4 linked regions of the Schizosaccharomyces pombe genome follow. Changing the gene in region 2 together with the main gene of any one other region gives a genetic interaction. Each region holds a gene or a part of one and is shown on either strand. Other genes may lie near its edges.

Region 1 (5,202 bases), on a different chromosome or scaffold from region 2:
CACTAGGAGCTTTAGTCCCACCCCAGACGTCACACCTCTCGTTACACCGGCACATTCTCCTCGTTTGAGACCCATGGATGATCCATCTTGCGTTCAATTACCTTCTATCCGCTCGCTTTCTCTACGACCTTCTCAAGTTCCGTTAATTCCTCCTTTGAAGTGTGATCCTAACGCCTTTTCCGCGTCTACACCAGCCTCTGGTGCTGTCTCTCGTACTCCATCGTCCGTCTCTCTGAGCTCGCTCTCCAACGTTAATAGCAGCATGCCTCACAAACCTGCATCCCAGTCGAATGTTGGTCCAGTCCGTATATCATCGAATCGACGATCACGCAAGTTCTCCTCTTCTTCGCGTGTGAGTGTCAGCAACCTTTTGGCCGGATCACCGCCATCTCCTTCTTCATCCACAAAGTCGGCGTCGTCTTCCTATTCCACCACCACACCGGCATTTTCAATAGGGCCGTTAACTCCTATGACCAAGCCCTAACCCAATATTTGCGCTGTGAACGCTAGTTACCTTTGCTTCCTTTAAACCATCTAAACACCTTGGTTGTGTGTTATGCTATTTTATAAATTAAGTATTAAATTTTTTATTAGTATCATGAGTCTCGACATTTGAGGTTCCATTGTTCAGTTTTTCTTTTTTTTTTTGTTTTAAATTTTTTTTAAACTTCTTGGCATATAATTAGTAATGTTATTTTGTGTTTATTAGACTGCTTTCATAGGTGAAAATTTATGTTATATGTTTAAATTACTTCTTGATCAGTGTATGGGTACAATAGACCATAAACTAATAAAGTTATTTTTTTTTACCGATGGTGTTTAATCCTTTTTGCTTTTATTTAGCTAAATTTATTGTATATAAAGTTGTCTGCAGATCTTATCAAAAAGTTGAACTGCAGGATCTACATTAATGACTTTAACTAGAACTACAGCAAATTACCATCATAATTTAACGGCAACTTCACAATTCGTATATAGAATTATTATTTTAATTCAGAAACAAACATCTGATATGAGAGACCTTCAAGTCCTAATATTGTCGCCATAGTTAATATTAATACATTACTACATACTTTGTTAAACAATGATTAGTGACAGTTCGTTTCGGATAATTTTATTCATAAACTATAAGTAAGCTATAAACTATTCCTTGTGCATCTCTCAAAAAGAAATCAGAAGTTAATGGAGAACAAAACAGCTTCCACACAGTTAATGATATCCTTGAAAAAATATAGAACACCTTAAAGTATGGGTCAGTAAAACAGCCAACACAAAAGTCAGACAAACAGACGTTGAAAAAGAAAGAAACAAAAGGGAACGAGAAATCTCAGACTGACGTGCAAATCAGATGGAAAAAGTTTCAGCATACGATGCTCAGTTGAACTATGCTTTTTTGGAATCATCAAAGAAATCCTTTCTCCATTTACTTTTCCAAACGTCAATTCTAACAGTAGAAAACTTACCTTAAAAGTATAACATATACTAAATTCACAAGTCTTCAAGCTTGAAATTTAAGTATCCATACACAAAAGCGCAGTCACAGTGATCAAAATTTCGGCTCACAAATGCCCCAGTATTTGTTAGAAATGCAAGAAGATTAATGGAACAAATTTACTTTAATTCTACAGTTTTAAAGATAAAAAAGAAAGTCATAAACTTTCCAATCCCATAATCCAATTTACCAATGAGATGATTATAATTGATGTTTTAAGAAATCGACTCTTTTATCTTTTGTAAATGCTGCTCAGCATTTGAGGCCGTTGTTTCGTGATATGTTTGTTTCTTTTGTAGTGCTTCAATATCTTCTCTTAAACTTGCCATTTCTGCGTCCAAATGTGTACGTACGGAAGCCAAATCGGATTTCATAAACCTGTAAATAAACAGTTAGTAAATGACTTTACATATAGATTGACAGTACGGTCAATTCCATTCCAAAAGTGCTGTTTTTGCTAATTCCGTATTCTTTCCCTATTTTTATAGAAAAGAAAATAAAAATACATGTTTCATTTTATGACACTTACATCTTTCCAAGAGAAGTATATACGGCCTTATCTTCTCCAACATCCTCTAACTCTTTTTTGGCTAATTCACTTATTTTTAGTGCCCGTTCCTTGGCAGCAATCTGTACCATTATGGTCCTCAGTTGTTGCTGTGAATCAACCGCTTTCTCTTGTATTTGACTAGCTAACTAATATGCCCAAAGCTCATTAGTTTACCATGTAACACAGTTAAAAAGAGGGAAATTCCTAACAAAATAATTCTCTTCTCAATGATGAAATACGTACATTTTGCATTATTTAAAGGAAACTTGGGTATATCTCAAGAACTTATTTTTTTTGGATTGAATTGCTCTTTCCAAAATTATGGTACAAAGAATAGTCCTTTTAATACTTTTTTTATAGACAAATCAAGAACTTTTTCAATATATTTGAATATACCACCTTTACAAGTATATCAAGTCTTAGGCAAAATGTTGGTTAGGCCTTAAGTACAAAGCTGGCATGTTACAAGCTACTTTACACTGCTTTTATTATCGGTACGTTTCGCAAATGTGAATTACATAATACGCCACAATTTGTAATAAATATTTTGTGAAATGTTTTGCCATATCCTTAAGTTCTTCCTTACATAAATTGTTGGCGATGGCGTTCACAAACGAATCTTCATTTCATTCCTTCTCTGTTTCAAATTTTTGTGGAAAAAGCATATCCATATTCTTACTAAATCGGATTTCTGGACTTTTCTATTGCTTTGGAAATCCATTATCCTTGTAGTTCACTCATTTGCGCCTCAAATCCTTTATAATTGGAATTGGCTGTTTACATTGATAATTTAGCATTTTTGCATCATACTCAACCCTTTTTTTCTTCTTTTATATTTGAGTTGTTGAATTTTTTTTCAAGTGACTGTAGTTTTTTCAACATTTTCCGTTTATTTATATTAATCCGCCTTTAAAATAATTAAGGCACATTCAAAGACCAATATAGGAAGCAATAACGACATCATGACTGAAAAACACACCCTTCGCCTCGCTGATCCTTCTGCTATTGATTCAATTATTTCTGTTGATGAGTTTCTACAAATCAAGGAACAATACGATGCAGAACAACCTCTGATTACTTTACAAACCAAATTTAACCTTGCTTGGGCATTGGTACGCTCAGATTCTACACAGCATGTACAACAGGGATTATCTTTGTTCTGCAGCATTTACAAAGATTCACCGGAAAGGCGTTTGGAATGCCTCTACTACATTGCTTTGTCCCATTACAAATTGAAGCAGTATGAAGAATCCCGTCGTTATCTCAATATGTTGTTATCCAAAGATCCAAATAGCCCAGAGGCTTTAAAGCTAAAAAACCGTCTTTACGATGCTGTTACAAAAGGTATGTTTATTTTAATAAAACTTAATGAGGTATCACATATGCATGAATGTTGTGTTTATGTTAGAAAGATGCGTTATAAATAATGAAAAGAATCATTACTAACCCGTTTTTAGAAGGATACATTGGAATGGTTGTGGTAGCTGGTGCAGTGGTGTCAGTTGCAGCTCTTGTAGGTTGGGCATCAAAACGGTTGTTTTCAAAGCGTCGTCCTTAAACCGTAAACGATATTAATCACAAGGGAGCTTTCTTTTGCATAAATTCTTCAATTTTTTCTCCTTACGAACAATAGGATTGTGGATGTATCCTTTTCATGAAACGCGTATGAGTTACGAAGGCTTTGGGAGACATTATAGTGTGCACTTTTTTTAGAAAAAGAAGATTATAAATCGAAGCTTGTTGTTTTTATTATATTATCTTTTCTTCTTACCCAGTTGATAGTTCTGAATTCGCTTGTGTTTCTTCTTAACAGCAGGGTAATAAATTTACCTCAAGGAGGTTTTAGATTGTTATAAAAAGAGAGTGAGTATTTATTATAAAAGCTGAATAAGTTCCTCCTTTTATACTAATTCAAAAGTTTTGTATCGATTAAACCAAAAAATATAATGATGGACATTAATGAATGATTTTACAATCCAATTCCCTCTTCCTGTTTGAACAGTTTATTAAGCCCAATAAAGAAAGAAAGAAAGAGTGTACCTTCGTCGATTTTCCAAGAAAACATCCAAAGACTCAAGTATTTGAGATGATGAGCTTTATAAACGAGATTTTGTTAAGACAGACTACGAAGCCTTTCCTCTAGCTTAGCCACTTGAGACTTCCGACCTTCCAAGTGACGTCCCAAAACATTAAGTTGTTGTTCCAGCATTTTTAAGTCATTATCAATGGCGGAAGCGCTGGGGCCATTTGGTCCATCATTTTTTAGAGATTGAAGGATACCCAACTTATAGTCAAGTACTTTCTGTAAATCACGTTGAATAAGCTTTGACTTATTTTGTGCAATGTTAACATCGTCAGTTTCACGTTGAAGGGAAAGAATCTTTTCGTCCAATTTGGACAGCTCATTTCTTAATGAAATCAGCTCCCAGTCAGAGTCTCTCACATCCCTCGGGGCATCAAGATCACTCTTCGGCTTCGCACCACCCGTAGATGGAGCCATTGTAGGTGAAGAGTAATAGTTATTAGTAGAGTTGTAGGAATCTAAATTATAATCGATATTTCCTCTCTTAAAACTAGCCTTTAAACTGTACGGGACATCATTAGGAATACGGAATCCGTTGGATCTCTGAGTAAGGATGTGCAAAAATACTAAACACTGATCTTTCTGTATGGTTTCAGTACCCTGAGGATTGACAAGTTTCCAAGCCTTCTGAATTTGAGAGTTGGGAACCCCAAAAGGAGTAAATACAGGTGCCAGGCCATTAAAAGATACTTCTCCGTGTTTATTGCAATGTAGGGAGTAAATATCGGAATATCGAATTTTATCGGATGGAGAAATGTACCAATCAAATCCATCTTTTAAAACGGCATCTTCCGGGTCGGTATCAAGCGAAGGTACTTTGTGTAAGAGAGCAATATCATCATTTCCACGAAGAGCATCTCGAGCTGCTACTAAATGCTTTTTGGAAGTAGACACCAACGCCTCGGGTACTCTATCTGGAACGGTTTTGTAAACCTAATGGTTAGAAATGATGAAAATAGACAAAAAAAGAAACCCTAAAAACCAAAGGTAGCCTTTCACAATAAAAACAATCAAACAAGTGGAAGGGATAAAAGAAAAAATGAAGGCTTTACGCAAGCGCCGTCTTCTTAAATCATT
Region 2 (5,773 bases):
GCTTTACCAGAGCTGGACAAGGATTTATTAAAATTCGTTTGGGTCGTGGATTTTCCTCTTTTCTCACCAACCGAAGAGAAAAATCAATCTATTACATCTACACATCACCCATTTACTGCTCCTCATTGGGATGATGTACATTTACTGGAAAAAAAGCCTCTTTCTGTTCGTGGACTTCATTATGATATAGTCGTGAATGGTATTGAATTAGGGGGTGGCAGTATTCGCATACACAATCCAGATATTCAAAGATTTGTGCTTAAAGACGTGCTTAAATTACCAGAGAATAGGTATGCTACATTTGAGCATTTAATACGCGTATTGTCTAGTGGCTGTCCACCGCATGGTGGAATTGCATTGGGTTTTGACAGGCTGGCTGCGCTGTTGACGAATGCTCCAGGAATTCGCGAGGTCATTGCTTTTCCGAAAACCTCTTCGGGTGCTGATCTTTTAATTGGCAGCCCGTCTGCTATTCCAGAAGAGATGTTGAAAGACTACAACGTTGCTATTACGCGACAAACTCAAAACCGTAATTAGATAACTTAAGCAAAAACATTAATCATTTAATTTTTTTTATACAAAATTTTAATCTAATGCTCATAAATGGGAACACGACCACGCAACCTCGCGGTCATAAATCGGCTCATTTTAGGTTTTTCATTTCCATTCTCATCCAAAGGTATAACTGCCTGTTCTTCTTCATCCTTAATATATTCACCTGTATTATCTATCATTTTTTTTCTCAGTTCGTAGTAACGTTGTGATATAGCTCGTTGATCACTAATTTCCTCGACTTTCGCATCGAATGCTTCTTTAGACTCGCTAATTTTGTCAGATGGAGTTCGTTCAACTACAAAATCTTTTACTACAGATGGTTCATTTAAATATTCCTTGGAAGTTTCCGAGCTTTTTTCTTTAGGCGGTGCTTTAAGCTCGGATTCTACAGTAGATTTGTCTTCTTCTTTTGGATTTAACTTTGTATTCGCAGCCCGATTATTTAATGTGTTACTCAAATCATCGTTCTTGATTGTACATGTGGCATTAGAATGGTTGCCCTCTTCGTTTTCCTTTGCGCGCAATTTGCTCCTTGCTTTACGAAACGCTGAAATACGACTCTGAAAATCGTCTGGTCCAAAAAGATTATCGTATTCTTCAGTTGGAGCAGGTATAACTTCAATATTCGCCTTTCCACTCCGACTGACGTGTTTAATTTCCAGCGTGTCTGAAAAATGTACCTTTCGAGGATTTTTTGACGAAAGCTCTTCTTGTTCAACGATTTGTGGAAAGTCACTGACATTTAGGCTCTCGTCATTACCATTGACATAAGTTGTAGCACCAGTCTTTTCTGTAAAATATTGAGGATCCGGTGGAGCTTTCAGTTCCTTGGAAAATCCTATCGTCATACCATGTTCATCTTCCTCAGACTCAGAATTATCATCTAATTCGCCTTCCTCCTCCATTTCCTGAATGAGAGCCTCCATATCTTCTAAAGAGTCTAAACCGTCGTATTGTACTGCTTCCAAAACATTTTGTCCTTGCGCAGTCGTCGGAACTGGTAGTAACATCGGTTCTTCTTCGACAATTTTATTGTCGGCATTATCTGGTTCTTCTATACTACTACTTCTAGTTTCGTTTATAGAATGAATAGATTCATTTCCTAGTGAAAGCTTTTCACTAGATGTAGCATGATCTTTGTTGCCAGATTTTTTTGTTTCTAGCTTAGCTTGTTTAAATTTTGAAAGACGCTTAGGTCGTTTTTTATGTTTAGACGTGCTAGTGTTATTATCTTTATTAGATTCCCCAGTATCTTGGGCCTTCGCTGTCGGATGCTCTAACACAATGTCTCGTAAAACTTCATTTTGGGTATCTTGATGTCCATTTTCATTTAAAGTAGAGTTATTGAGAGCATTCAATATCGTTTCTTTATTTTTTTCAATAGCAGAAGCGTTTGACTTTATATTTGAAGTAGTTCTGTTTTGCATTGCATTATTTTTTTTGAAAAGAAAACCCTTTTTAAACAAAGAAGTCTTGCTACCATTTTTAATTTGTTGAACCATATCTGAATCACTCAATGAAGCAGCCTGACTATTACTAATAGGACTCTCATATGTTTTACTGTCTGAATGATCACCATGTTTGCTGGGAAATTCTGAGACACCAAGTGTTGGAGTTGAAGTAAATTCAGTATTAGAAGGTAATGAGCCCATTTCTGGAGCTTTGTAGTTAATATTTTTCGTAGAATCGTTAATTTCTTCTTCAGATAGCTCTTCAATTCTCGAAGATGTATCACGGTTCCCCCCATTTTCAATATTTTTGAAACCAGGAAGGGATCGAAAGACATCCGCATAATCTATTACAGATGAAATTCTTTGTGGAGCAACAGAAGCACTTATAATATTTCCATCTTTATCAACTTCTTCATGAATATCCATAACAGGTAACCCTTCTGAGTTTCTTACTATCAACTCGGATTTCTTCTTTTCAATTGAAGATGCTAAGTCATTATTGTAATTTCCCAAAAGTAAATGAATATGATTTAAGACTGGATTTTCATTAGCAATTAGTCGTTTGATGAAGCAAACATTATCACTCAATTTATAAGAAAAAGTAACGTACAATCCACATGGGATGCTGTTTCACATCCTTCAACTTTTCCATCTTCCTTACAGTAACGGATCGCCCTACCGACTGATTCAGAAATTTCGCTAATCTTAGAGAAGATTTGCTGTTCAAAATTGATGGCTACTAGTCTTTCGTCGTTCATTCGATAAGTTGTTTTAAAGGATCTTAAATAGAGTTATTGAAGAATTTCTAATTCAAAATAATCTCACGCCAACGATCGTTTCGTGGTTATTCCGGAAAAAGGCATATACAGCTTATTCGGGCAAGCTAATATTCACTTTAAAAACGAGATAATAAGTAATTCTAATAAATTTTAAATACTTTTAGTATTTAAATAACAGGGTAACTAATATAATATCGAAAAATCGATGTTAATGGAAATGGCTCAAACTGAGTAGGAAGCCACCGACCTGACCCTAATGTACGTAGAAAGCGCCATACTGCAAATGTCCTAAGCATCTAGTAATTTGGTCCCTTACTTTAAATTTTAATATTTTCTCACTGAAAATAATTTAAGTAAAAGCAAATGCATGTCTTAATCCTATAGGTCCAACAGTTTAAGCAAGTATAAAACATAATTTGAACATTAATGGGGGACTATTTTGCCTGGGATTTTGCAAATATCTCTGGGAGTAATACTTCTGGCTCCTTAAATTTAAATCAGTTGAACTGTAAGCGCTAGCAATGATGGTTGAGTTATAAATCATTCTGAACATCCCAAGCGTAAAATAGCTAACGGATTTTTCTAGTGGACAACATAAATAATGGTTTGCATAATCAGGAGGATGGAGCTGGAGGAAGGAATGAAAATTCTGAAAGAGTTGGAAGCGGGAGTCCTGGAAGTGTTTCCATGCAGGTTTTGTCTCTCTTCAGTGCTGTAAACTCAGCTTTGGCTACTTTGGAAAAATCAGAGGAATTCCCTTCTGTAGTTAAGGATGAACAGTCAATTTTTCCTGCTGTAGCAAAGGCGTCTAATTCGTTGGACGAGCTGGCCCAAAACATAATTCCTGCTCCTTCTCCTCCTGGGTTTAATAGAAAAAGAAAAACCTTTGATGAAGACAGTTCTGTAGAGATGATCCGAAGAGCCATATCAGATCATTTGGATTTACTGAACAATTGTTGTATTGGCATTGCTAATTTGAATGAGGACAGTGTGCACAAAATTTCACTTACACGTTCAGGGAAACCTAGTCAGCTGGTAACAGTTTCGTGTCGACATTCCTCTGTCATACAAAAGTCTTATGGGTCAGAGAAACGTTACCTATGTCCACCCCCTATGGTTTATATTAATGGGAATTACTCTTCTATATTCAATCAGTCTTTTCGCACTGAGATATCAATAATGAATGATTTTGGGCAATGTTCGCAACCCATCAGCGAAGAATACACTGGCCAAGGATGTATGATTTTTCGGTCACTGCATATATCGAGTTTGGTCGCTGCGAAATCTAAAAACTTACGGCTTTCTCTGGACATGTTCTCGAATGTAAATAACCAATTGTTATCTCATTTGGTTACTTCTTCTATTAGTATTGTCTCCAAACCTTCGAAAAAAGGAAGCAAACTAAAAATTAGTAATATTACGTTGCGATCCGGTTCAGTCGTCAGCCTTTATAACCGGATTAATTCACAAACTGTACGTACAAAGTATACATCGATTGAGGCTGGTCAGTTTTGTCTTCGCGGTGATAGATGGGTGCCATTGCGTATTAACCTGCTATTACCAGATGAAAATGGTAAACTGAAGGTATGCGACGATGTCGATAACCCAGAACCCATTAAATATGGCTCCATCGTTGAATTGGTCGATGAAGCAACAGGAACGACGAGTGACCCTTTAATTATTCGACGAGTAGAAAAAGACCACATTGCTGAGGAGGACGGTTACGTTAATCAAATGCATAGAATTGTATTAGAAAGCGCATATCCCATATCAAACGTACGGCATCTTAAGATCGCTGAGCATAGTTCACTGGCATATTCCAATAATATTTCAGTCCGTTGGTTTCTTGGGGCCACGTCGGCACAAAACAGAAATGCATCTAGTGAGGCTATATTGCCCATAGAATGGGAAGCTGTTGGAAACTTGAGTTCAAATGAAATGACTCGAGTTGGAGATTCTGTATGCTGGACTATAGTGGGCATATCACATTTTGACTGTACGATGATGTTACCATTCAATCAAAATCCTGTACCAACGGTTACTGATTATCCATATATTGAAGAGCCACCCGAATATTTGGAGAGCTCGCGCTCATTACAATTTAAAATTGGAGGCTATTCGGTCGGATTACAAATTTGGCTAGGTGTTCATGGACCATTGTCGTATAGTTTTACCGCAGCTGCTGATACGAGTACAATGGGTACGGTCACTCTAGGTCTGTCGCAAATTTCATATGATCCTTCTTGTGCAGAACAAAAGTATCCTTTGTTGTTCGTGATTCCAGGTGGGATTGTCATTATTGGAAAATGCGAGATTTTGCTAACGTCAAGTGCTTTTGGAAACTGATGCATCATGATTAATTTTACGTGTGGTTTCATATGGCGAAATATTGAAATACAATTTGTTTTCAAAATGATGGAATTAGGTTGAAATCTCTCTTATTAAATGAACTTTATATTGTACAAACATCCTAGCTTATGGAAACTCTAACATATAGAAAGCAGCGGAAGCTTTTGATAAGATAATTGAATCGTCGAAAATATGTACTTAATAATTATGATTTTCAAAAGCTGCAAAACAGAAAAACTTTTAATAAACTAGTAAGGTGTCTGTCGAGAGCTGTCGATCATATATTATGTGGACCGTAATCGTTTCTCCTCGGGAGGAGTTGCTGTATCCACTTCCAAATTTAAATATCTTTTATCTGCTTCTCTTAAAATTTTACTATAGCAAATTCCTTCAACTTTTGAAATGCTGTTCTCCATTACTGATAATTTCTGCTGTAATTCTGACTTGACCTTAGATGGTAAGTGTTCAATTTCTGAGCAGTTTTTGTGTAGTCCACGAAGAAATTTAACTTGCTGAGTGAGTTGTTGGACAGAGAACTTAGAGCCGTTGGTTACAAGGAATCTCATTATTTCACCAGTCATGTCACAAACACCGAGTACATAGTCGATGAAATTAATAGAAATTCTAAAGCTACTATCT
Region 3 (5,144 bases), 570 kb from region 2:
TTTGTGCACGAATACTGGAACTAATTTGCGTTCCATATACATTCGTAGATAAATCTAAATCGGCACACAAGATTTGAGCAAACACATCCGGTGTCATTACTTGCTCGTTCATGTTCCATAAAAACGTGTCCTTGAGTCGATAATTGTTGGGCAGTTCAATATCCAGCCGTATTGGTATGTATACATCTCGTTCTTCTGCAGCGCATTTAAGCTGTTCGTCTGTAACGTAAATATGTCTTGTTTTAGTCGCGAATCTTGGATAGATGTTGTTTCCGGTTGGTCTGCCAACTGCCAGCCCCCGATCATCCGTTTCGAACTTTTCCTCTTCTTTTTCTGGAGTTTCTACTGGCGTTTCAAAATCCTCACCTTGTTCGAATGCGGCGTAATTAACCGCTGGAACATTTCTCAACGAATTTCTGCCTGTATACGAAGAATGCGACCTAGTCGATACTGCAACATTTTTTTGGATTAAGCATGTATTTCCCGTTTTCAAACGAGATGAGTATGTGGTTTTACAAGCTTGAGCCATGTAAATTGTGAAGTCGGTAGTTTGCACAAGTATGCCAAAAAACACTATGTAAGCCGCAAGTCAATTTACAGTTGGAAGTACTATGTTATGTTTTTATTTATTCTATATGATTGTATTAAACGTAAATTATAATCGAGAGTTCTTTTATCGGCCCTGATTTGGTAGAACCGTTGATAAACGTTTAATACTTCTACATTGCCACTGGACTTTCGAATCACAGAATTTTCAAGGATATCTATACAAAATAAAATAAAAAGTTAATTTAGTAAAATAGTTTGACTCCTTTCGATTTCAGATTCTCCAAAACAAACAGTTGCTGAAGGACAAGTAAGGATGGTTGGGTTAGTACGACAATATTAAGGCAAAGAGTTTATTCCTGCTTTATTTTAAGGATATACTTATAGCTGTTATTCAAATTGAAATACATATATCAATATACCTTGTGAGATTAGAAATAAACGAATATAAAATATAAGAGGTACACTTATTTTGTGCATGACATGAAGAATATTGTAAAAAAGCAAGTAAGGAAACAACCATAAACGTAAAAAGGTAAACATAATAATAAGATTCTATATAGGTCTGCGTAAAAGGCATCACTAAGCGAATAAAGGCGGTTAGTTGAGATCCTCCACTTTTTCATTACGAAATGTAGGTTATGCAACAAAGGAAGTTGAGATTTTATCTTCAAAAGAAGCTAAATTATCTCTTTGTTTCTCTCCGTCCTTTTTATCACGGGATTTTTCACGGTCCTCTAATTGAGCTCGAAGATCCCTAGCAATATTTCGCAGCATGGCATATCCAAGATGCATTTTTCCTGAGAAGTGATCAGCTAAACGACGATCGTTGTCTAATCTTGAAAGATAAGCGCTACAAATATCACATACTTGTAGCTTTTGATGCGTTGTGCTAGCCTGACTGGGAATTTCATTCATGGAAATCACTTCATCATATAATTCTTTCCTGTATGTCTTCAACCTATTAAGCTCAATAAAATGTTTAACTGCATCATTCACTAATTTTCTTTTTGCAAGCGCCTCCATTTCTGTAATAATAACTTCAATTGAATGGTCGGTATGTATTATATCTCGCATTAGCTCATCTATCCGTTCTTCCTCCTCTTTTGTTTTTTCTCTACGAGCTTCAGCAATATCAATACGCTTATTACAGTCATCAACATGTCTTTCTAGGTCTTCCAGATAATCCCACTCGTAGCCATAGTCATGTGAATAACTAGCCCGTTCATAATCCGACTTCAACTTGTCACTGTGGATCTTTGGACAAGGCCCCAAATCCATTTTAGTATTTGTAAATATATCATGAGGACAAATACCACATAAAAAGCTTCTGCAAACTTTGCGATCAGTGAAATGTACTAGGCCTCGAGAGGTAAAGTTACTCAAATTACTGCCCATCAACTGTTCTATGATTTTCCTCTGTTCAGCGGCCATAATAAGTGTATTTTCGGCAAAATGTAATTTTATCTCTGCTGATGTCCTATTTGTGGGTTTTCGACAAACGCTGTAAAATGAATAGAAAATTTCACTAGGTTTTACAAGTAGTATAAAGAATTTTTTCCTTTATTCACAATTAAATCAAAATTAAAGTTTACAATCGCTCAAATTTGATTGAGATGTAATTTGAGTAGCTTGTTGGGTTAAAATTCAAAAAAAAATTTCCCGGAAAAGTTCAAAAGTTGCTATTTCTAAATCGTTAAATATAGACGAGGCAATATATTGATACTTTATTCTTTCGATTAGATCAACTTTTACAAATTGTTGTTGAAAACTCAAACTTGACAGAGGGCAGCAATATGCGTCACCTGTATAAATCCTTTTTCACCATTTGGTACAACAAGTTTACTTAAACCAACAACTCCATTCCCCCAATTTTTTGCAATTTATAAGAGTGGAACTTGAAGAAACAAAAATATAACGAATAAATGACCATGTTTTGAGAATGGCATCAACTGCTACTCAAAACGCAAGCACTCGATATTCCCAAATTTGGATCGACCAACCTGCTTCATTGCCGTTCCAAGATTCGATAAATTTAATTAAAGAGGATAAAGAAAAATGGAAAAAAGAAAAAACTGCCTTTTTAATTGACTATGACTGGTTCGAAGGATACGTTGACTTTATATATGGAGAAGGCGACAACCCTGGTCCTATAACTCAATGGAGGCTGCTGGATGAAAAAAACGAGCTTAAACATTCTTTGGAGGAATCTATTGATTATAGCATTGTCTCTGCTTCGCTATGGCATATGCTTGTTGAGTGGTATGAATTTTCTTTAAAGGTCTCTACAGTACTTGTAAAAGGCATTATTAATTAAATTCAAAACTCATATTCATATATGTTTTGAAAGCATTGTGTCTTAGTTTTGAATATTTCATTAATTTATGTAGTTTGCATTACTTCCCACGGTGCCTAAATATATAGGTTCCCTTGGATTTTGAGGCCTCTTTTCAATTCCCATTATGTTATTAGCTAACTCAAATATAGGTTTGGATTAGAAGGTCTAGCTATAGAGCGAAAAGTTCTTTTGGTAGGATTGGCTGCTGAGCAAAAGCCATTCGTAGATATCTATCCTATAAACTTTACTTTGCACGTTTTATTCGACCCAATAAACGGTGAAAACACGAGCTATTCACCATTATACCAAATTGATGAACCATATCATAGTGATGAACCCTATGCGTTTAGCTTTTCCCGAAGTGATACCCTTCGGTCTTTGTACAAACAAGTGATGGAAGCTTTCCAAATATCTGATGGTACTTCTTTCCGTTTATGGTATCTAAACAAAAGTAATCTATCTTCTAGGTTTGTAAGTTTGTCGGAGTTCAATGATCAACCTGCGATTGCTTTGCTTTCCGAGTATGCTGTTTGCATGACTATTTTCGAAATAGATATTGCCGATGGAAGCTTATTGCTCGAGTTTCAACATCCTAACGGAGAGTGGTTATCTGACTCTATAACCAAAGAGCAAAATTTAACAATAAATAAAGAAATCGGACTCTGCGGTCTTTACAATTTGGGTAATTCATGCTATATGAATTCTGCCCTTCAATGTATGATACATACACACGAACTTACAAAATATTTTCTTAGTGATTCTTATGAAAAGGATATTAATTACAACAATCCGTTGGGAATGATGGGGAAAGTTGCCTTGTCTTATGCTAGTCTACTGAAGATGATCCATCATACTGCTGATATGCACTCGGTGTCACCTAGTTCTTTCAAATTTATAATTGGCGAGTTTAATACCTATTTTTCTGGATATCGTCAGCAAGATTCTCAGGAATTCATCGCCTTTTTCTTAGACGGGTTACACGAAGATTTGAATCGAATTCAGATAAAACCATACTTTGAAAGGCCAGATTTATTTGACGAACACCCATTACATGTTCAGAGAGTTGCAAATCAATGTTGGGATATTCATACAAAACGAAATGATTCCATAATTGTTCAGTTGTTTCAAGGAATGTATAAAAGCACCTTAGAGTGCTCCATATGCTATCAAAAATCAACTGCGTTTGATCCGTTCATGTATCTTACTCTTCCACTTCCTACTAGTGCAAAATGGCGACACAAGGTAGTGTACGTCCCGCCATTTGGCACACAGAGTCCTGTGGAATTGTATTTGGAGCTTCTCATGGAAAGTACGGTAATCCAAATGAAGTTTCAAGCTACGGAAAAGCTTCAAAAGATGGGACTCGAATGCGGGGAACTTACTGCTTGTGACATTTATCGGGGAAAGGTGTACAAGGTATTGAAAAATAAAGACAAAATATCTAAAAAAATTCATAAATGGGATCATGTTGTACTTTATGGAAGTACTGCAAACGGATTAACAATACCTATCGTCCATGGATGTAAACGACCGGCAATGCCCGGATCATACCAGTCTAACGATGTGTTTGGATTTCCTTTACAACTCAACGTCCGTTCTCGAAATGTACTCACAAATGATTTAGTGAAAGAGATTGTCGAACTGTATCGAGTTTATGCAGGCATAGACGTAGCAATCGGAACTCTTCAGCTTGGACTGAAGCGGATGGAAAGTAAGGCCGGGAAATGGGAATGCATAAAGGAAATTGAGGTTAAAAGGTTTGAAATAGTGGAGGAAGAGGAAATCGTTATTGACGACAAAACTGTAATTATGTGTCTATGGAACGATCAACAATATGAAAAGTTATTTTATAACTGCGAATGGATATTTGAAAAAATTCAGTTCCATATGGAGTCCATCACCCTTGAAGATTGTTTACTGGAGTTTTCCAAGCCAGAGCAGCTTGATTTACAGGATTCCTGGTATTGTCCTGGGTGTAAGGCATTTCGACCGGCAACAAAACGGCTGGAGATCTGGCGATTGCCAAAAATACTAGTCATTCATTTAAATCGATTCAGCGGCCACGGTGGAGATTTGCGGAGAAGACGTAAACGAAGGGATTTAGTAGTTTATCCAGTATTTGATCTCAATTTGAAGCAATTTTTGAGTCCATTTATAAAAGATCATGAGTGGCTATCGTCACAGAAATCGATGCTTTACGATTTGTATGCAGTGGACAATCATCACGGGTTTATGAGTAATGGTCATTATACTGCCTATG
Region 4 (5,438 bases), on a different chromosome or scaffold from region 2:
AAAAAATGAAAGGTTGTGATTCAAACACGTTGCTTATCATTTAAGATCGTTAGGGAGGGCTATAAACAAAAAATTGGAAACTGAGGATACTTTACAACAGCGCTTTGATCCTTCCCAAAGAAAGATTCATAATTTATTTCCTTTAAATAAGTACTTTTTTTAAAAAGCTTAAACTATTTACGACTAAGTCACTAAAATTCGTAACCAGAAAATCATTAAAAAGCTTTATATAGTGAGGGGTAACGATAAGTAAATCCACCATGCTAATCTAAAAAAATGTACTCGCTAGAGATGCAGAGATAGTTTATATTGAGAATATTCAAAAAAATATTATTTTACTGTTTACCATAGCTTTCGAACATATCACAAAAGAGGGAAAAACCAGAGCCTTTTTATTCAGTGTTAACTGTATTTTGAACTAGCAAGGTTTGACGTTACTCTATTGCTCTTCTCCCTTTAATCTTATTTTGTTTGAGCTTGTCTAAAAAAAAAGGTTTCTCCTCTAATACATTAGAAAAATTTAAACGCTATCATGACAACTTGTTCAATATGCAACGAATCAGAAATAAAATATAAATGCCCGAAGTGTTCATTTCCTTAGTATGTGCTTGTAAGCTCAGAACAATGCATTTTGTTTCAATACACATTAACCCATGAACCAATGCTTTATTCTTTTTTTCTGTTTCCTAAAAATACTAATATAGAATTAATAGTTGTTCATTACCTTGCTGGAAAATCCACCAAAGTCAATGTGAGACTGTAAATGACAATAACACAACAACATTCAAAGGAGTTAAAGAACCTTTAAACCCCCCAGAACCTTCTCCTAATGTTATCTACGTTAATGGAAGAATCCCAAGTTTAGCAGAAGAGGCATTGCCAAGTGAAAGTCTTTTGGAATCTATTGTCGAAGATCCTAGCATAAAAAATTTAATTGAAAGTAATGCCGAGCTTTTACATATAATGAAAGAATTAGTGAACCTTGACCGTGAGGAAGAGGGTTCTGTTCCTCTGAAAACCTTAGATGCTATTCAGCAACAGCGGCTACACAATCCATCTTTCGAAAAACTGGCATCCATGATTCTGGAAAAATATTATGCTCAAAAATAATGGGTTTTATCATTGTAACGAACATTTAGAAGATTCAATTCAAATCGCATATCGGTTATTGGAAGTTGAAATATCAAAGGCGATATTTGAACCAAGGCGAATTGTTTACGAAAGCAACACATCCATTTAAAATTTTTAAAAGTAACAGCGTTTACACGATGTTAATACATAGCAAATACTACTTTTTGGTTTAACTATGAACATTAATATTTATTCAATACAATTTCCTCTCCTGAACCCGTTTATTTTAGTTCGATGTTAAGTATATTGTTCTATACCCTCATAATCTCGTAAACCCCATCAATCTGGTAAGCAAAACAGATCCTTCCGTAGCTATAGCAAGATGTGATCCATCTTGGTGCCAGCAAAAGTCAACGATGGGCATACCTAATTGAATAGGAATTGAATTCGAGTCCTTTTCATATGTATTAATGAGCTGTATTAAGCCGTGCTGAGAATGTGCCGTAGCAAAGTAATCCATGTAACGGGGATGTGGGCAAGCACCAAGCAAGGATGGGAACAATGAAATGCCTTGCACGTTGGGCAGTAGATTTTTGGGTCCCAATTTCATAGTGGAATCCGAGATTTCATTGTAATCGTTATTAGCAAAAAGATTCCAACGAAGCCAAGCCCCACTTTTACACATTGCAAGTATACCGCTTCCATCACTTCCGATCCATCGAACGTTAGCTAAAGAGGAAGCAATGCCGCTACTATGACAGGTGTTAACGAGTGGCAGGGTATTCAAAGTCAAAAGCCATGGATTTTTAACCAACTCGGTTTGAGAATTTTCTTCAGCTGATAAATTCAAAGTCCAGTCAAAAATCCTAATATTACCATTCCTTTCTCCAACAATCAATTGATTAGGATTAGATGGGCGAAATTGGACACTAATACCAGGGGAAGACAATGGGTATCCAGCTAAAATAGGCCCTTCATCAGTCAGTCTCCATATAATCAACGTACAATCGTCGCCCACAGATGCTATCACCTGCTCAGCGAGACGATTATCAGCGGAATAGACGTCTGCAATATCGATATCATTCACAAAATTATGATGCCCAGATTTTCCGCCCAACACATGTTGAGTAATAATGGTTTCATTCTTTGTAATTATTAGACGAACTGTATTATCCTGACACACACATGCAAGAAACAAAGAATACACAGGTGAGGAATTCACATTTCCATCGCCATCATGCAAATTCTCAGAATAACTACAGCTAGATGAAAAAGAAAGATGCAAAGTGGGTAACCCAGTTTGAATAGTGAACAACTCTTGTAATGTCAAACCTGTAGATCCGGGCGTCTGTTCTTCTGAAGCACAATAAATAGTGATACCCGTATCATGGCCTGTATAAGGTTAATCATTAGTTTAAAACGTTTAGAGGAATGCTATTTGAAGATAATTGTTTCATTAGCACTGAGGTTTTCTCAAATATTGTAACTTAGGAAAACAGAAAAGAAGAAATGAGTAATACGTAAATTACCATTCGTCGTAACATTCAGATATCTTACATACCTATGGCAAGAAGATTTGAACAGGAAGGAGACTGGGAACACCAAGTCGTTGTATACGGGCGGACATTAAGAGGCAATCTAATAAACAGAAGTTAGAAAGAGACATAAACGAAATAACGCTGAACGTACTGATACTGGTTAGAGGAAAGAGTCATGACGAAAAATAGTTTTCAAAAAAAACGGAAAGAATGAACGCTTTATTGTGCAGACAATAAAAAGATAAAGAAATTAAAAATGCATTTATATATACAAATGGAAAAAGAGAAGTTTCGGCCACGTTTTCTAGTGATATGGTGTTGCAGGTAACTAGTGGGTTACGTGAATTGGATGAAGCTGAAGAAAACGTTCTACCTTACGGAGCCAAAACTACCACCATTAATTTACAAAAAATCAAACGAAAACCTATACAAAGCAGTTTAGATAATGAAACACGATAAATATAACCATTTTAATGCAATTACTAAAATTTGTACTTATACTAAATATCTTTTAATAATTTAACTTATATTCAATTAACAAATAGAGTGTTTACTAAATACATCAAAATAAAACTATATGTAAAAAAACCAACACGATATTCCACTGATTTATTGCAGAACGAAAAGTAATAATTGCGTTCCGTATGAAGTATACAGCGGTTTTATTCTTTCCAACACGTTCCCCAAGCCAATTACATAAACCGTGACACAGGCTTGTGAATAGTGTGGATAAAAACGAATGTAAAGCATTGTAAACGACAAATGGGGTTTTTTATAGCATAATGATCATTTTAGCAGTCACATCTTCTCGTATAAACCAGATTTTGTGGAGGGAGTAAATGCAGTAAATATTGAAAATTTGAAAAAACCTTCGGAAATCTTAGCTTGGGCATTTCATTCTGAGCCGAAATCTTGGCAACTTCAAAAACCCAAGGGCTATGGCTATTCTTGCTTCAAGACTAGTAAAATATAATACAATCGAGTACTATCATGTTGGTGAATGATATTATGTTATTGACTGTAGAGCGTATATAACATGAGAATGTCACTGTACAATAACGGAATTTATTTACTTTAAAAATGTTGGCAAGTTGCAATACAAATTTGAAATTATTGCTTTGAACAGCCTTTGGGATTTATCGCTATGCTTACAACGAGCGGCATTGAATTTACTGGAGTAGAATGGCATGAATGTGTTTGACCAAAATGAGTATTATTACCATTATCCATTACAATGCCTTTATACAACTATCCGGCCTATAGAATAACAAAATTTAAATTTGACCATAGTAGCTGTTGACAGCATGTGGGCCATAAAGTTTTTACATACAGTCAAGTCCATACTAAGGCTAGCATCGGCAATGCAAAATATGCAGTATCACTGCCACGAATACCAGACTATACAACCGGAATATAATTAACACATCTCGCGATAATCTCATTCTTATTTAAATCATGAAATTTTTTTTTTTTGCTATCATCAAAAATTGAATTTATTTTGTAAATAAAAGCCAGGAACCGTTGAACTATGATTTTTAGTTTATTAACAATCTTCTAGCTTCGTTTTGTAAATCATGCATTGTTCGTTCATATAAATCCAAAAAGAAAGCGATGTTTTCAAACGTGAAGCATCTTTAAAATCATAAAGAGCATCAAGGAGCTTGTATACAAGCTTCCACTCAATACATTAACTCGATTCATTTACAAGGAATCCTCTTTATTCCTTTTTAACACCACCATCACGATTCATCCCCTCACGACGAGTTTCTTCGAGTACGTTTTCCGACCGTTGGCTAAATTCCTCTTTTATTTTCTTACCAGCATCTTTCGCCTTTTGCTGATAGTCGGTATCTTTTGCATCCTTGGCAGTTTGCTTTACCGATTGCTTTGCATTCTCAGCCATTTCCTGTGGTGACTTATCTTTGTTTTCATCTATCTTTTTCGAAGCCTTACCAGTTGCTTTTTTGACAGTTTGACTGATTTTCTCAGGTGCTTCTTCCAGTGTTTCTTTTATATATTGACGAATTGTTGTATTAGCAGGATTGGTTGCCTTCCAAGCGAAAGCAATTCTTGCAGCACGAAACGCCATGTTAACAATATGAAGATAAAAAAAATAAAGCAAAAAATATAAAATTTGTGTAAGTTTTAGTTACCAACGCTAGTGGGTATGAACTAAAACGTTATACTTTATCTGTTTATGGTGCCTTAGCAATTTTCCAATTCTGTTTTCTTTTTCAAGACGAAAAAAATTAAACAACAATAAATATGCTTTATTTGTTGTTATTGAGAAATCGTTTATTTACTTTACCCATACCCTTTGCACTGTATATATAGTACACCCCAGCACTTAAGGATTACATCAATACACATCATCTTGCCATACCCATTTTGCCTCCTCAAAGGACTTTCTCTACGCCGAATTTTGAGCTTAATTGAACTAATTCTGTACGTAAGCGATATCAATTCTGTTTATTTCCCAGTTGTGTCATTGGTATCGTCGAACGTTGCAGTCGTTCGTAATTCTGCAACTGATTGGGAAGAATTTGAGGAATTGTAGATCCCTTTGATGCCTAGCCTAATCAATTTTGATGCTATTAGTTCATTGAAATCCTCTTTGCATGGCTTATCCATATGTGCTTTTAATCATCTACACCATGTACCTCAGCACAATGGCTCATTAGCTCATGAGGGACCTACAAACCAAACTGATTATTCTTCTCGTCATCACGAAAGCCAGTTTTCACAAGAAGCACATGCGGAACAACGTTCGAGGGATGATGAGGAAGCTAACTCTTTTGAAGGTTCGTGTAACAACTCAGATCAGTCATG

What was found.
Region 1: mutations in uri1 (region 2) and pfd1 together harm fitness more than expected from each alone (negative genetic interaction), as found in Schizosaccharomyces pombe (one large-scale study listed by BioGRID).
Region 3: mutations in uri1 (region 2) and luc7 together harm fitness more than expected from each alone (negative genetic interaction), as found in Schizosaccharomyces pombe (one large-scale study listed by BioGRID).
Region 4: mutations in uri1 (region 2) and nup37 together harm fitness more than expected from each alone (negative genetic interaction), as found in Schizosaccharomyces pombe (one large-scale study listed by BioGRID).

The regions. Positions count from the first base shown.
Region 1 is NC_003423.3:1,754,803-1,760,004, forward strand, and holds pfd1 (prefoldin subunit 1), read right to left. Parts: upstream 2,457-5,202; 5' UTR 2,295-2,456; coding exon 2,286-2,294; exon of another isoform or gene 2,189-2,285; coding exon 2,022-2,188; exon of another isoform or gene 1,871-2,021; coding exon 1,708-1,870; 3' UTR 1,464-1,707; intron 1,421-1,463; exon of another isoform or gene 1,320-1,420; intron 1,241-1,319; 3' UTR 1,099-1,240; downstream 1-1,098. Other genes in the region: DNA-binding transcription repressor, glucose sensing, Scr1, read left to right, coding at 1-484; protein Fis1, read left to right, coding at 3,005-3,386, 3,500-3,600; actin cortical patch component End3, read right to left, coding at 4,156-5,058.
Region 2 is NC_003421.2:324,331-330,103, forward strand, and holds uri1 (prefoldin-like protein), read right to left. Parts: upstream 2,765-5,773; coding exon 2,617-2,764; intron 2,543-2,616; coding exon 591-2,542; 3' UTR 538-590; downstream 1-537. Other genes in the region: dar2 (aspartate--tRNA (Asp) ligase), read left to right, coding at 1-537; DNA-binding transcription factor, CBF1/Su(H)/LAG-1 family Cbf11, read left to right, coding at 3,212-3,293, 3,372-5,131; tfx1 (translin family protein), read right to left, coding at 5,419-5,773.
Region 3 is NC_003421.2:889,556-894,699, reverse strand, and holds luc7 (U1 snRNP-associated protein Luc7), read right to left. Parts: upstream 2,189-5,144; 5' UTR 1,981-2,188; coding exon 1,186-1,980; 3' UTR 864-1,185; downstream 1-863. Other genes in the region: RSC complex subunit Sfh1, read right to left, coding at 1-529; ubiquitin hydrolase Ubp1, read left to right, coding at 2,489-2,808, 3,034-5,144. UniProt on the Schizosaccharomyces pombe protein: Component of the U1 snRNP particle, which recognizes and binds the 5'-splice site of pre-mRNA. Together with other non-snRNP factors, U1 snRNP forms the spliceosomal commitment complex, that targets pre-mRNA to the splicing pathway.
Region 4 is NC_003424.3:4,867,848-4,873,285, reverse strand, and holds nup37 (nucleoporin), read right to left. Parts: upstream 2,943-5,438; 5' UTR 2,787-2,942; coding exon 2,761-2,786; exon of another isoform or gene 2,710-2,760; coding exon 2,633-2,709; exon of another isoform or gene 2,560-2,632; intron 2,464-2,559; coding exon 1,391-2,463; 3' UTR 1,260-1,390; downstream 1-1,259. Other genes in the region: hit1 (HIT zinc finger domain-containing protein), read left to right, coding at 533-600, 714-1,110; SPOM_SPAC4F10.17 (uncharacterized protein), read right to left, coding at 4,327-4,698; SPOM_SPAC4F10.16C (P-type ATPase), read left to right, coding at 5,176-5,438.